Caenorhabditis elegans: one gene and its partners. The protein of the gene in region 3 interacts with the protein of the main gene of each other region in a pairwise test. Each region holds a gene or a part of one and is shown on either strand. Other genes may lie near its edges.

What was found.
Region 1: the proteins of meg-2 (region 3) and eya-1 interact in binary tests that used the Caenorhabditis elegans proteins (3 or more experiments, as listed by UniProt).
Region 2: the proteins of meg-2 (region 3) and bar-1 interact in a two-hybrid assay, tested with the Caenorhabditis elegans proteins (one study listed by BioGRID).

The regions. Positions count from the first base shown.
Region 1 is NC_003279.8:14,229,254-14,233,010, reverse strand, and holds the start of eya-1 (Protein phosphatase eya-1), read left to right. Parts: upstream 1-1,650; 5' UTR 1,651-1,768; coding exon 1,769-1,786; intron 1,787-1,980; exon of another isoform or gene 1,981-2,022; intron 2,023-3,757. UniProt on the Caenorhabditis elegans protein: Tyrosine protein phosphatase. Acts probably as a transcription regulator in the embryonic and postembryonic development of several tissues including pharynx, vulva and gonads. Required for the development of anterior tissues during late embryogenesis.
Region 2 is NC_003284.9:7,168,783-7,172,539, reverse strand, and holds the start of bar-1 (Beta-catenin/armadillo-related protein 1), read left to right. Parts: upstream 1-1,914; 5' UTR 1,915-1,923; coding exon 1,924-1,991; intron 1,992-2,105; coding exon 2,106-2,232; intron 2,233-2,297; coding exon 2,298-2,393; intron 2,394-2,450; coding exon 2,451-2,555; intron 2,556-3,188; coding exon 3,189-3,335; intron 3,336-3,381; coding exon 3,382-3,506; intron 3,507-3,554; coding exon 3,555-3,669; intron 3,670-3,723; coding exon 3,724-3,757.
Region 3 is NC_003284.9:13,924,098-13,927,854, forward strand, and holds the start of meg-2 (Protein meg-2), read right to left. Parts: upstream 2,033-3,757; 5' UTR 2,012-2,032; coding exon 1,873-2,011; intron 1,820-1,872; coding exon 1,517-1,819; intron 1,236-1,516; coding exon 1-1,235. Other genes in the region: Protein meg-1, read right to left, coding at 3,372-3,399, 3,446-3,586, 3,637-3,757.

The DNA of each region.
Region 1 (3,757 bases), on a different chromosome or scaffold from region 3:
CATAAACTGTTCGAGAAGCCCACAGAAGCATTTTTCTCGAGAGTTTCCGAATTCGACCTGCTAATTTTTGAAAGCAGTACCTGAATTATTGAAAACTTCTTATTAAGACTTCTAATTTTATTTTGCTATTCAAATTTCATATTTTCTAGAACTTTTCAACTTTTTGTCCGACTGGCTCAGTGGGATTTTGGGTGACTACCAATTTCACCACCTGGGTTCGAGTCCGCGCCTTGGCATATTTTTTTGTTTTAGTGTTATTTGGCTAATATCGACATTCTGAATCCGAATTTCAAGGTCCCATGCCTTAAAACTCAATGGGTTTCCTCCAAAATCAATATTCCATTGCAAAATCGTCCCTCGTCCCATATACTACTAAAATTGAAGTCAGCGTCTCGACTCTGTGCTCCCGAAAACTGAAATATGATCGCTTCGCCGCTTTCGCACGCTCCCCATCTCCCTATACTCTCAGAAATGAGAGGAAAATAAGGGAAGGGGGTAAAATCAACAAATAATATCGATTTTTTGAGAAGGTATAAAAGTTCGAAAAAATCACAAAGCAGTGTGGAAATGTCTAATTTTTGACCGAATTCGAACTCGGAAAGTCGAAATTTAGTAGAATAACACCAAAAAAAAAATTATGCCACATCGCGGACTCGAACCCCGGACCTCAGATTGGTAGCTGGCTAGAATCCCACTGAGCCACTCGTACACAAAAAGAAATTAAGTTTGAGCCGACCTAGCAAGTCTTTCTGGTTTTGAGAGTTGAAAATTCGAATTCAGGAGATTTGTATTATTCTGAGAACAGCAAAACAAAAATTCATGCCACAGTGCGGACTCGAACCCCGGTCGTAAGATTGGTAGCCGGCCAAAATCCCACTGAGCCATTCGGCCAAATTTTCAGAAAAACTTGAAAATTACGGTTTGAGCTGATTTTTCAGCAATTTCGATATATTTTTTTTTTCCAATTTTGAACTTGTTTTAAAGTTGTTCAAGCTATTGGAGACCAAGCTTCGAAGGGATATATATATATCCCCAAAATGTTGAAAATGTTATTACAAATAGTATATAAGTCAGAAATCCGTGTTCAGCAGGGCTTGTATAGTCAAACCAATAAATAAAAAAATTTATGACACAGTGCGGACTCGAACCCCGGTTGTCAGATTGGAAGCCCTCCAAAATCCCACTGAGCCATTCGAGCAAATTTTCAGAAAATCGAGGTTTGAGCTGATTTTTAAAAATTTTGAGCATTTTTTGGGACTGTTCAGCATATGTCTCATGTGTGCTAGGTGCAATGAGCTATTAAAATTTAAGCTTGATAGTTTATTTTCAATAAAAAGTTAAAAATTTGTATGTTAAAAATTCGTGTTCAGCAGGGCTTATATAGTCGAACCAACAAAGAAAAAAAATTATGCCACAGTGCGGAGTCGAACCCCGGTCGTCAGATTGGTAGCCCTCCAAAATCCCACTGAGTCACTCGTACAAAACTTTTTTTTCAAAATTAATTTTTCAGAATCCGAAAATAATGCGATTTTCCACCAAAAGGCGGAGCTCCGAGCAGACAGCCGACTGGCTCAGACATACGGTAGCTCAGGGGTGAGAGCTCCGAGAGCTCAGAGAGCCGGCAGAGAAAACGAGAGCACACACACACACACAAATACATCAGAGTCAGTCTCTCCCTGCTTCTGCGTGCCAGTTGCTCAAATTTTTGCTCAACAATTTCCAAATCTATATATCTGAAATTGTTCGCAATTCCTGAATCAAAAAAAAAATGCTTCCAGATTCTGAGGTGAGTTATATGTCGCTTCAGGGCGCCCCCGGGCGCCCGGTACCCCATCCCAAAAGTATCAAATATCGGCATGGTGATGAAACTGGAGAAAGTTCTGCGAGAAGGGTCTGTCTGTAAGATGAGCTCTTCCAAGACACCCCCCCCCCCCCCCCCCCCCCCCCCTCCATGTACCTCCTTTCCCCATTCAGTACCTAGACAGTTCTAGCTAACCTCTCCTACAATGTTCTCTGTATTTTGTGAGTTTTCTAAACCGTGAACTTTAATTTAAAAAACTCGAAAAATCGATATTTCTAATCTTAAAAATGTTCCTGAATGGCGCAGTGGGTTTTTGGACAGCTTCCGAGCAGAAGCCCGGGGTTCGAGTCCCCGCTGTAGCATTTATTTTTGTTTTTGTGTGGATGAGCTATATAAATGATTCTTGGCTTTAATTTCCTTGTAACCCAGAAAAAAAGCTCTCGGAGCTCAAAACGAGTAGAACTGCGAATTTTAATGGTACGGGGTTGGGGTTTCAGATAAAAATGTAGATTTTTAAGCTGAAATAAACTTTTTTCAGAGCTTTTACTCTTCATTTTTCGCAATTTCGAAAATTTGGTCCAAGTGGCGCAGTGGGATTTCGGATGACTTCCAATCTGACGACCGGGGTTCGAGTCCGCACTGTGGCACAATTTTTTCATTTTACTGTTTCTAGATTAATTTGAGTGCGCTGAGTTCAAATTTCTATCTTTTAAACTTCTAGGTTGAAGTTTTTTAGTAGAAAATTCCGAACTTTGTTGCAACTCGGAAAAATAAACAAATCAATAATTAGCGAAGTTTATAATCCACGTAAACAAATGTCTGGGTCACCTGGTGCTCAATGAGCACACTTATTTTTGATTTTCACTATTTTTCCAAAAAGATACATTTTTAACTAGGAACTTGCTCCGAATCGCCTTTTAAACTGACATTAATCAGAAAAATTATCAAAAATTATGATGTACATCCCTATTGTAAATTTTGGATTTTTTTTTTGGTCAATTTATGCGACTAGTTGATTTTAGGCACCCCTTAGTCTTTTTCCAATACCCAGTTGAGTCTAGATACCCCCTCACGCAACCATATTACATCATTATATAGCCATCATTAGCCAACTTGCAACAGTTGGGGGGACCCCCTGTGGTGACGGGATCGAATTCAGAGGTCTTGGGGCTCTTCGATGCACAATTTCTGTGGCAAAGCAGTAAAAAATCCAAAAATAAAATTTCGAAAATTTGGTGCAAGTGGCTCAGTGGGATTTTGGTGGGCTTCCAAGCAGAAGACCGGGTTCGAGTCCGCGCTGTGGCTTAATTTTTTTTTTTTGGTGTTTTAGACTAATTTGGGTATAGGCATGTCGAAAATTTTAGTCACGAGTCAGAAAATGGCTCAATGAGCATAAGAGATGAGTTTGAAAATTTCCTGGCGCTTATTTTTAAATTTTTAAAACCCTCGTAACTTTAAAACTAGAATAGCAAGAAAAAAGTTTCCAACCACAAAATTGTAGGAAATTTTCCAAGTAATATTTTGCTAGTTGACAACTTTCCTCGAACTATGCTCTCCACCGAGTTATGGTAGAAATCGCAACACCTGTTTGGTGGCGGGGAGCTCTGAGAAAACTCCCGCGGCTCTTTTCTTACCTGTTCGCCGGCGGTCACTTGAAACTAGATACCCTTATACCTTTTTTCCGCACCGGGCTCTTACTAAGTTTTAGGGCTTTTGGGGAACCCTCCGGGATTGATTCAAGTCAAATTTTTTTGGCCGGTTTTTATCAAAATTTTAATTTTTTCACTCATTACTTCACTGCCCCCCGGCCTAGTTATCACCTCCACTACCGTGTATTTGAACAACAGCGACATATGTAAAGCTCCTGTGCTACTGCTCGCCGAGCAAACAAATACAGATGGCATTGTTTGTGAAGCACCCCGTCCGACGCCTTGAAAGTAGTGAGGGAAGAAGAAG
Region 2 (3,757 bases), 6.8 Mb from region 3:
TACTTCCAAATGAACACTGCAACATTCCACTGCGTCTTATTCTTTTCTTCAAAATTGATAATATGTATCATTATCATGTGTTAAAATTTTCATTTCTCGCAATCTTTACTTATCATCTTTTTAGAAACCCAACTTTGGAATATTGACGCCTGTATTGAAAAATTGGTGAAGGATTGAAAAATTTCAGTTAAAAAAAGTTATTTTTTTATGAGATCCTTTTTGCAATAGTCATAAATAACACACATTGCAAGTTAAAATAACTTTTGAGGTTAAAAATGTTTTTTTTTAGCACAAGACGGAAGCACTGATTTTTTAAATATTCCAATTTCCTGTAAGATTTTGAAATGTTAAATGATGTCTTTATGAAAGATTGCTCATAAGGAGAACACTGTTATCAGTAAACCCCCGACATGGAGCACCCGTTGCAACACTTTTCTCCATTTCTTAAACAAACTATTCTTCTTTTATTGCTTTTTCTCGACGTAATTTCACTTTTTTCCGGTTGTAAAATAATAATATATTATAAGTTTTTACAACTTAAAAAATAAATTGAGCAAAAACTTTTTCAGAATAGTATGAAAGATAGTTAATTCATTAATATAATTTTTAAGTTGTAGTCTTTATGACATTGTGTACATAACAAGTAAATGCAATTTGTCTGTGAAAGTGTTTAAATGTACAAACAATAGGCAACTCATACCCACTAAATGAGTCATTAACGTGTCCTTCAAAAAATCAAAGTTCATAGTATTGGAAAACAGGATAAAAAGTCATATTAATGATGATGCTTTTCTTCAGCGGAAATAAAAAAAAACCTTTTCAAAAGTGTATCATGAAAATTAGCAATTGATCCATTGCATGAAACAATAAAAAAAACATAATTTATAGTAGTGAACTCCAATAAAATTATAATAAATAACAATCAAAGTTTTGCTTAAATAATTTGAATGCCAGAAACTTAGCCTGAAAGAAAATTAACTTTTTTTTATCATTCACAGTTTGCAATTTTATCCTGCAATTTGAAAGTTAACACAATTTTTAAAAATTATTTTTAAGGTTGTACTCTTGGTTATTCTAATTTGCCATGATTAACACTTTCCTATTGACCAAACTTTTGTCTAAAATGAATAATCCTGATAACGATTCTGTCTAACGGAAACCAAATGATGGCTTGTTTGATTTTCCACTAGAAACCTTTTGAAAAACAGCAAATCTGGGTCGTTATGCTGATATGATATAAATGAATAAGAAAATAAAGAAGAATAAAAATGAAGGACTTGATAAATAAGAGTCGACTAATTATCCCAACTGATAATTTACGACTAAGCTATCCCATTTCTATTTTCTCTCCCAGCCTTCCCAGTTCTCCTCCCAAATACATCCTTATCAAAGTTGTTTCCCCCGTCTTTCCCGTTTGTTCATTTCAAACCCACAACTGATGACTGTGTGCCTTCTCGTTTCACCACAGATAATCATTATTATTGAAACATACCTCTAAATTTTATTAGCCAATTTCACACCTTTGGCTGCTCACTCACTGATAGGTGATTGAAAGCACGAAAGAAAATGGGTTGAATAATGCGAGCGGGACGGGCAAGGGGATGGGAATGATTGGGGGTGAAATAGAAGCCATCTGATATCAATAGCCCTTTACTCTAGGTTAGGTACAAACCGCTCATTTCTATTATTGCTTTTTCTTCATTACACAAGCCTTAGACTCTCTATCTCACTATTTCACCGCCCCATCACCACACACTCTTTCTTGTGCCCAGCAGGAAGATTTGTAATGTTTTCAAACATTTTGTTCATTCAGTTTTTTCACTGCTTTTTCCTATTTTTTCTCTTCATCCGGCAGACAAATCGTTTTTCTTGTTCGAATTGATTCATAAAAAAATATTTGGCTTTTTTTTTCAGAAAACTGGGATGGACCTGGATCCGAACCTAGTTATTAACCATGACGACACAAATTTATCAGAGGCATCTTTTACAATGTAAGTTTTTTTGATTGAACGAGCCTGCAAATTTGAGGAAAAGAAACAATTTATTTTGATGTTGGGAGTTATCAAAAAAAAAATTTTAAAACTGTTTTAAAATATTTTTTACAGGGAGCAACACACCTCGAGCTATTCGGATATACACATGGGCTCAACGCCCTGCACCGGCCACCGCAAGGTGGATATGTGGCGGAATCACAACTTTGATAGCGGTTTCCAAACAATGAATCACAGTGAGGTACGAGAAAACAGAGGAGAGATAGACACACACACACAACAAAGATTAATGTGTTTCAATTTCAGGCTCCATCTATTATATCATCTCTACATCCGTCATCGCATCTTTCCGGAATGTCATCCATGGCCGACTATGAGCCGATCCCCACTCTTTCAGATCAAGTAAGACCATTTCATATCAAAATGCGCTGGTGGACAAAATTGTTATTTTTCTTCCAGCAAAAACAAAAGTTTGATGGGATCACGCAAAATCAAGCGGATGGGCAGTATAACACAGTTCGAGCAATTCCAGAACTCACTATGCTTATGAAAGATCAGGATAATGTAAGATTTTTTTGTTCAAAACTTTTTTGAAATATTCATACTCATAATTTCACAATATATGAATTAAAAAAATCCTCGGTTTTGACCTATTTTTTATATTTTAATTATATTCAAACATCTTGTATTCCAACATGCAACAATGCTCGAAATGTTACAAATTTTTGGAAAACTTAGCAACTTATCAGAACTGTGACTGAAATTTTTGAAAAAAAAACTTTAAAAAATTAGAAACGTATGTCTACTATTACTATTATTACTATTACTATTACTATTACTACTATTACTGGACTACTATTATTTCATTTAGGTATAATATGATGTTAATTGATTTTTAACTTTCAATTACTCAAAATAAATTATCAAATCTACAGTAAGAAAAATATTTAGTCGAATTTATTCACTTAAATTTTCAAATCACAAAATCTGAAATTAAACTATGAACTTTTGATTTCAGTACTGATATTAACACAAAGATAAATTGGTTCTAATGCTGCTTACTGATGAAGCCGGTGTTTGAACTTTTGATTGTTTGTAACATTTAAAATCGATTATCAAAATTGAAGTATCTGGAAAAAATTTAAAAAAATTGATTGTTCTGCTGAAAAAAACATTATTCAAACAAAAATCTTACAGGAGGTTGTGCACAAAGCTGTAATTCTGATGCAAAATATTGCGAAGATGGAGTGTGACCCAATGCGACGGCAAAATGAAGCTCGAATTGTGGACCCCCGTGTTATATTTACACTGCGTGATCTTCTCCGTGACAAAGTTGAATTCCCGGTATAGCTTGTGCACTTGCACAGTTTAATACATCATATATTTTCAGAACATCATTCGTTGCACTTTGGGAACATTCTTCCACATTTGCAACCGACAGGAAGGAATTGATCTTGTCACTCGAGCGATCGCAGAACAACCTGATATAATTCCAAATCTTATTAGGCATATTGGGTAAGAAAGTTAAATTTCAGAAAAAAATCATTCAAATAGCTGTTACAGTACTTATCCAAGTTCAATATACAAATATGCCATTCTTACTATGCATTCGATTCTGTCCGATAAGCAGAGAGGCGGACAAAGTGTGATCATTGCGCGTCAACAAGATGCGATTACTGTAAGATTAAAGAAGAAAAAAAATTGAAAAAAAAAAATTTACAAAAAATTGCAGCATGTGACTCCGTGGTTAGAAGCGGAGAAATCAG
Region 3 (3,757 bases):
TTGAGAGAGTCCATGAGCCATCAAGAAGCTTTCCGGCAGATTGGGCAACTGAGGTGCAGGGCGTGATGAGCTTTGTTGAACTGGGAACTGTTGATTCCCGGAGCCGTGATTTATGGAGGAATTGGAGGGACCTGCTGGGGACCTTGTTTCAACTTGACCAATTCCATGAGCCATCAGGAAGCTTTCCGGCAGATTGGGCAACTGAGGTGCAGGGCCTGATGAGCTGTGGTTCATTCGATTCCCGGAGCCGTGATTCATTGCATTGAAAAGACCTGACAGAGAACTCGTTGGAATTTGAGAGTTTGCATGAGCCATCAGGAAATTTTCCGGAAGAGCAGGCAATTGAGGTGCAGAACCTGATGAGCTCTGTCCCATTTGGAACTGTTGATTCCCGGAGCCGTGATTTATAGATGAATTGAATAGACCTGACAGAGAACTCGTTGGAACTTGAGCGTTTGCAGGAGGCATCTGGAAGGTACGATCTCTCGAACGGTTATCCATGTTCATTGCTCGAGTATCTGCATTTTGATTATTTGGCCACAAACCCATGTGTGGAGGAGCTTGAAAGCCGGCATTTGGAAAACCGTATGGCATATTTGAAGTCGGATATCTTCGTGCATGAGCCCTCTGAGCAAGTTCATAATCGTACATGTCTACAAGCCTGGGAACTCCGTGAAGCCTGGGAACACCGTTAGACAAAGGTCTTGGTACGAAATTCATTGGAACGTGGGAATCGCCTTGAGCCATCTGATTACCCATGTTCATTGCTCGAGTATCGGAACTCTGACCATTGACCTCAGGACCAATGTCTGGAGCTTGACCGCCCGTATTTTGTAGACCGTTTGCATTATTTGGAGCCGAATGTCCTTGTATTTGAACCAATCGTGAAGATCTATTGTCTGCCTCTCTTTGGTAATTATATTGCAACCGGAAAATTGGAGCATGTTCTGTTCGTGATTGCGATGACATGGTGGAAGAAGATTCAGAGCGATTTCGATTTCTTGTATCCTGAATCACTGGCTCTTGGAGGCTCGTATTATTGCTCGTTCTCCCATCTCCAATGCTGCCAAATTGATTTTTGACGCGATGTGTGGCCCGGGATGATCTCCGTTGGACAGTCCGGCTTTCGCCTTGAAACGAATTATCAGAAAAACTGTATTCGCGCCACTGATCTACGGATGGTAGATTGATGGAAACGTTACTCCGGTCACCTGCATACTCATCGCGATCAACACCTGAAACAATTTAGCTTATTAATATATGAAGTGCCAAAGAATAAATGAAGTTGTACTTATGTTTCCGATAAATGTTTCATATAAAAAATAAATAGAAATTGGAACCTTATCAATTTGTTATGTTTTGATAACTTATTTTCATTCAATTATTACCCGGTACTTCAGTAAGAAATAAAGAGAGAAAATTTCATACAACATGAATATATGATTCTCCCGACTGTTGAAGTAATGCACTGTGAACGTAGATAATTTTCTAATCAAAGTTTAGATTTGAGGCTCACCTGGAACCTGGTTCTGATGTGAGGGCGCCTGTCCTCCTTGAGACTCGTCTCTCGATTCATATGTCTGTCCACGCCGAGTTGTTGATCGTGGCGGAAAATTGCTTGCATTCCTGTTGTCCGTTTCCTGTGCAATTGTACCACTTTGGTTAGTTCTACTTTGTGTGGACGCGGATGAATCGGATTGAACGGTTGGATCATCGGCAAGAGACGTGTTTCCAGAGAAGCACAGCCAAAAATTCTCCAAATTATTTGAGCCATTGTACATGTCTGTCCAATAAAGTTGCTGCTGGTTGTGAACTGCACCTGTAACAAACCGGTTTAATAAATATAGTGAATCTAAATTTATTTTTTTTTACCTCCAATACTACGCATGTTGGTCGAAGAAACTGATTCATCACGATTCCCGACTCTCGCTCTTTCTTGGGACTGTTCGCGACGGTGATCTCCGGGTGGTGGGAGATTCTCATCCGATGAAAGATCATCACAATTTTCCATTGCCGCGCAACAAATGGAAACCTAAAAATTGAAAAATTGTAGAAAAATGTTAAGAAAAAAGAAAAAAAAGAGATTTCGCAACAACTGCAGATGAAACAGAGAGCGGACCACTGTCCACGTGTAATGGAACGAAGACTGAATGGAGTGCCTCGGAAGGAAAAGTGAGAGGGAAGAGACGCAGCAAGTGCGTGACGGAACTGTGACGATGGATATGATGAAAACAGTGCACACGCGAATTATTGATTTTACCATTGTAAACTGGAACAGATAAAAATGGAACGGTTCTTATTTATGCATGATTTTTTTCTTTGAATTTGAAAACCTAAGTTAGCTGTGAAAGGGCGAATGTGATCGTTTGAAATTTCTCAGAAACCTTATGAAATTCTGGCGTTTGAGAGTTTAAAGTATGCAGAAATTAGAGTTGTAGGGATTTCAAGAAAAAATTGCATAGTTCAGAGTTTCTCAAAATAAAATTCTCTGAAGTCTTATTGGTGTGCAATTTTCTGCTGTTGAACTATTTAAAACAGTGCTGGCCAATACTCGCTTTCAATTTTTCGGCGACTATTTAGACTTTTCCAATAAGTATGCTCCAAAAGCTATACGTTTCAGCAAGAAACTTTTAACTAAAAAAGTGATCCACACGTTTTTATCTACTTAACCTAGTTAAATACGAGCATTCGTTGATCAAATGAGGTCTTAGGTTGATCACTTGAAAAATATAAAAATGCACCGAATCAAGCCACATCATAATTGAACTTTACAAGTTTGTCCTACCATTAAACCTGAACTCGTTTTCTCAATATCTTCATCATGTGAAAAACGGTATGACTTTTAAAATAAACCAAAATAATTCAATGGGTATTTGTTTTTGAAAGATATATGTTTGGATTAGTAATTTCCAGTTTTTACAACAAATTTCAAACATTTAGAACAAAATATTTTTATCGAAATAAACAACAATAGTCGGTGAAATTGTACTGGACAGTGACTGGAAAACCGGTAAGACTGAAACTGAGCACTATGAGATACAAGTACAATACAAGATGGTTGAAGAAAATCACAGGAAAAAGAATTTCTAATCGTGAAATTGGTTAGTGTGGTAGAAATAGAGAGTGTTATGGTACAAAATTGGGTAATAAGATTGATGTTGGCAGGCGAGCCAAAAGTCAAAATTAGTTGCTGGGAGGTTTCTACTATGAGATACAAATACAGCACAAGATGGGTTGATGGTTGATGAAAATCACAGGAAAATATAATTTGTAATTGTGAAATTGGTTAGTATGGTAAAAATAGAATTGTTATGGTACAAAATGGCAGCACAGTAAGTGTGTTCTTGTAGGCGAACCAATTGTCCAACGTCTCATTCATTGCTTGGCAATTCCTTGTCACTGAAAAAAAAATTGCTTGTTATTTATATAAGTTCACAAGTCTCACCTTTGCTTGTCCGATTCTTGTGGCTCAGCTTGTTTCAAATCACTTTCAGAATGAACATTCTTGGTGCAATCAGGAGCTTCGTCATCTTGTTGGTGGAGGAAGGATTGAGACATGTAGCCTTTCACAGAGCTGGCAATATCACTGAAAAGAAATAATAGTACATCGGAATTCGTTTATTATGGTTAACATACCTTGAAGTGCTTGGCTCAGGCGAAAAGTTGATCTTTTCATCAAGCATACGAACAAAATTATCCATGTCCATTGTGCTTCGCTTTTTGATGCCACTGTATCTAATCATCTTCTCAAAGGATG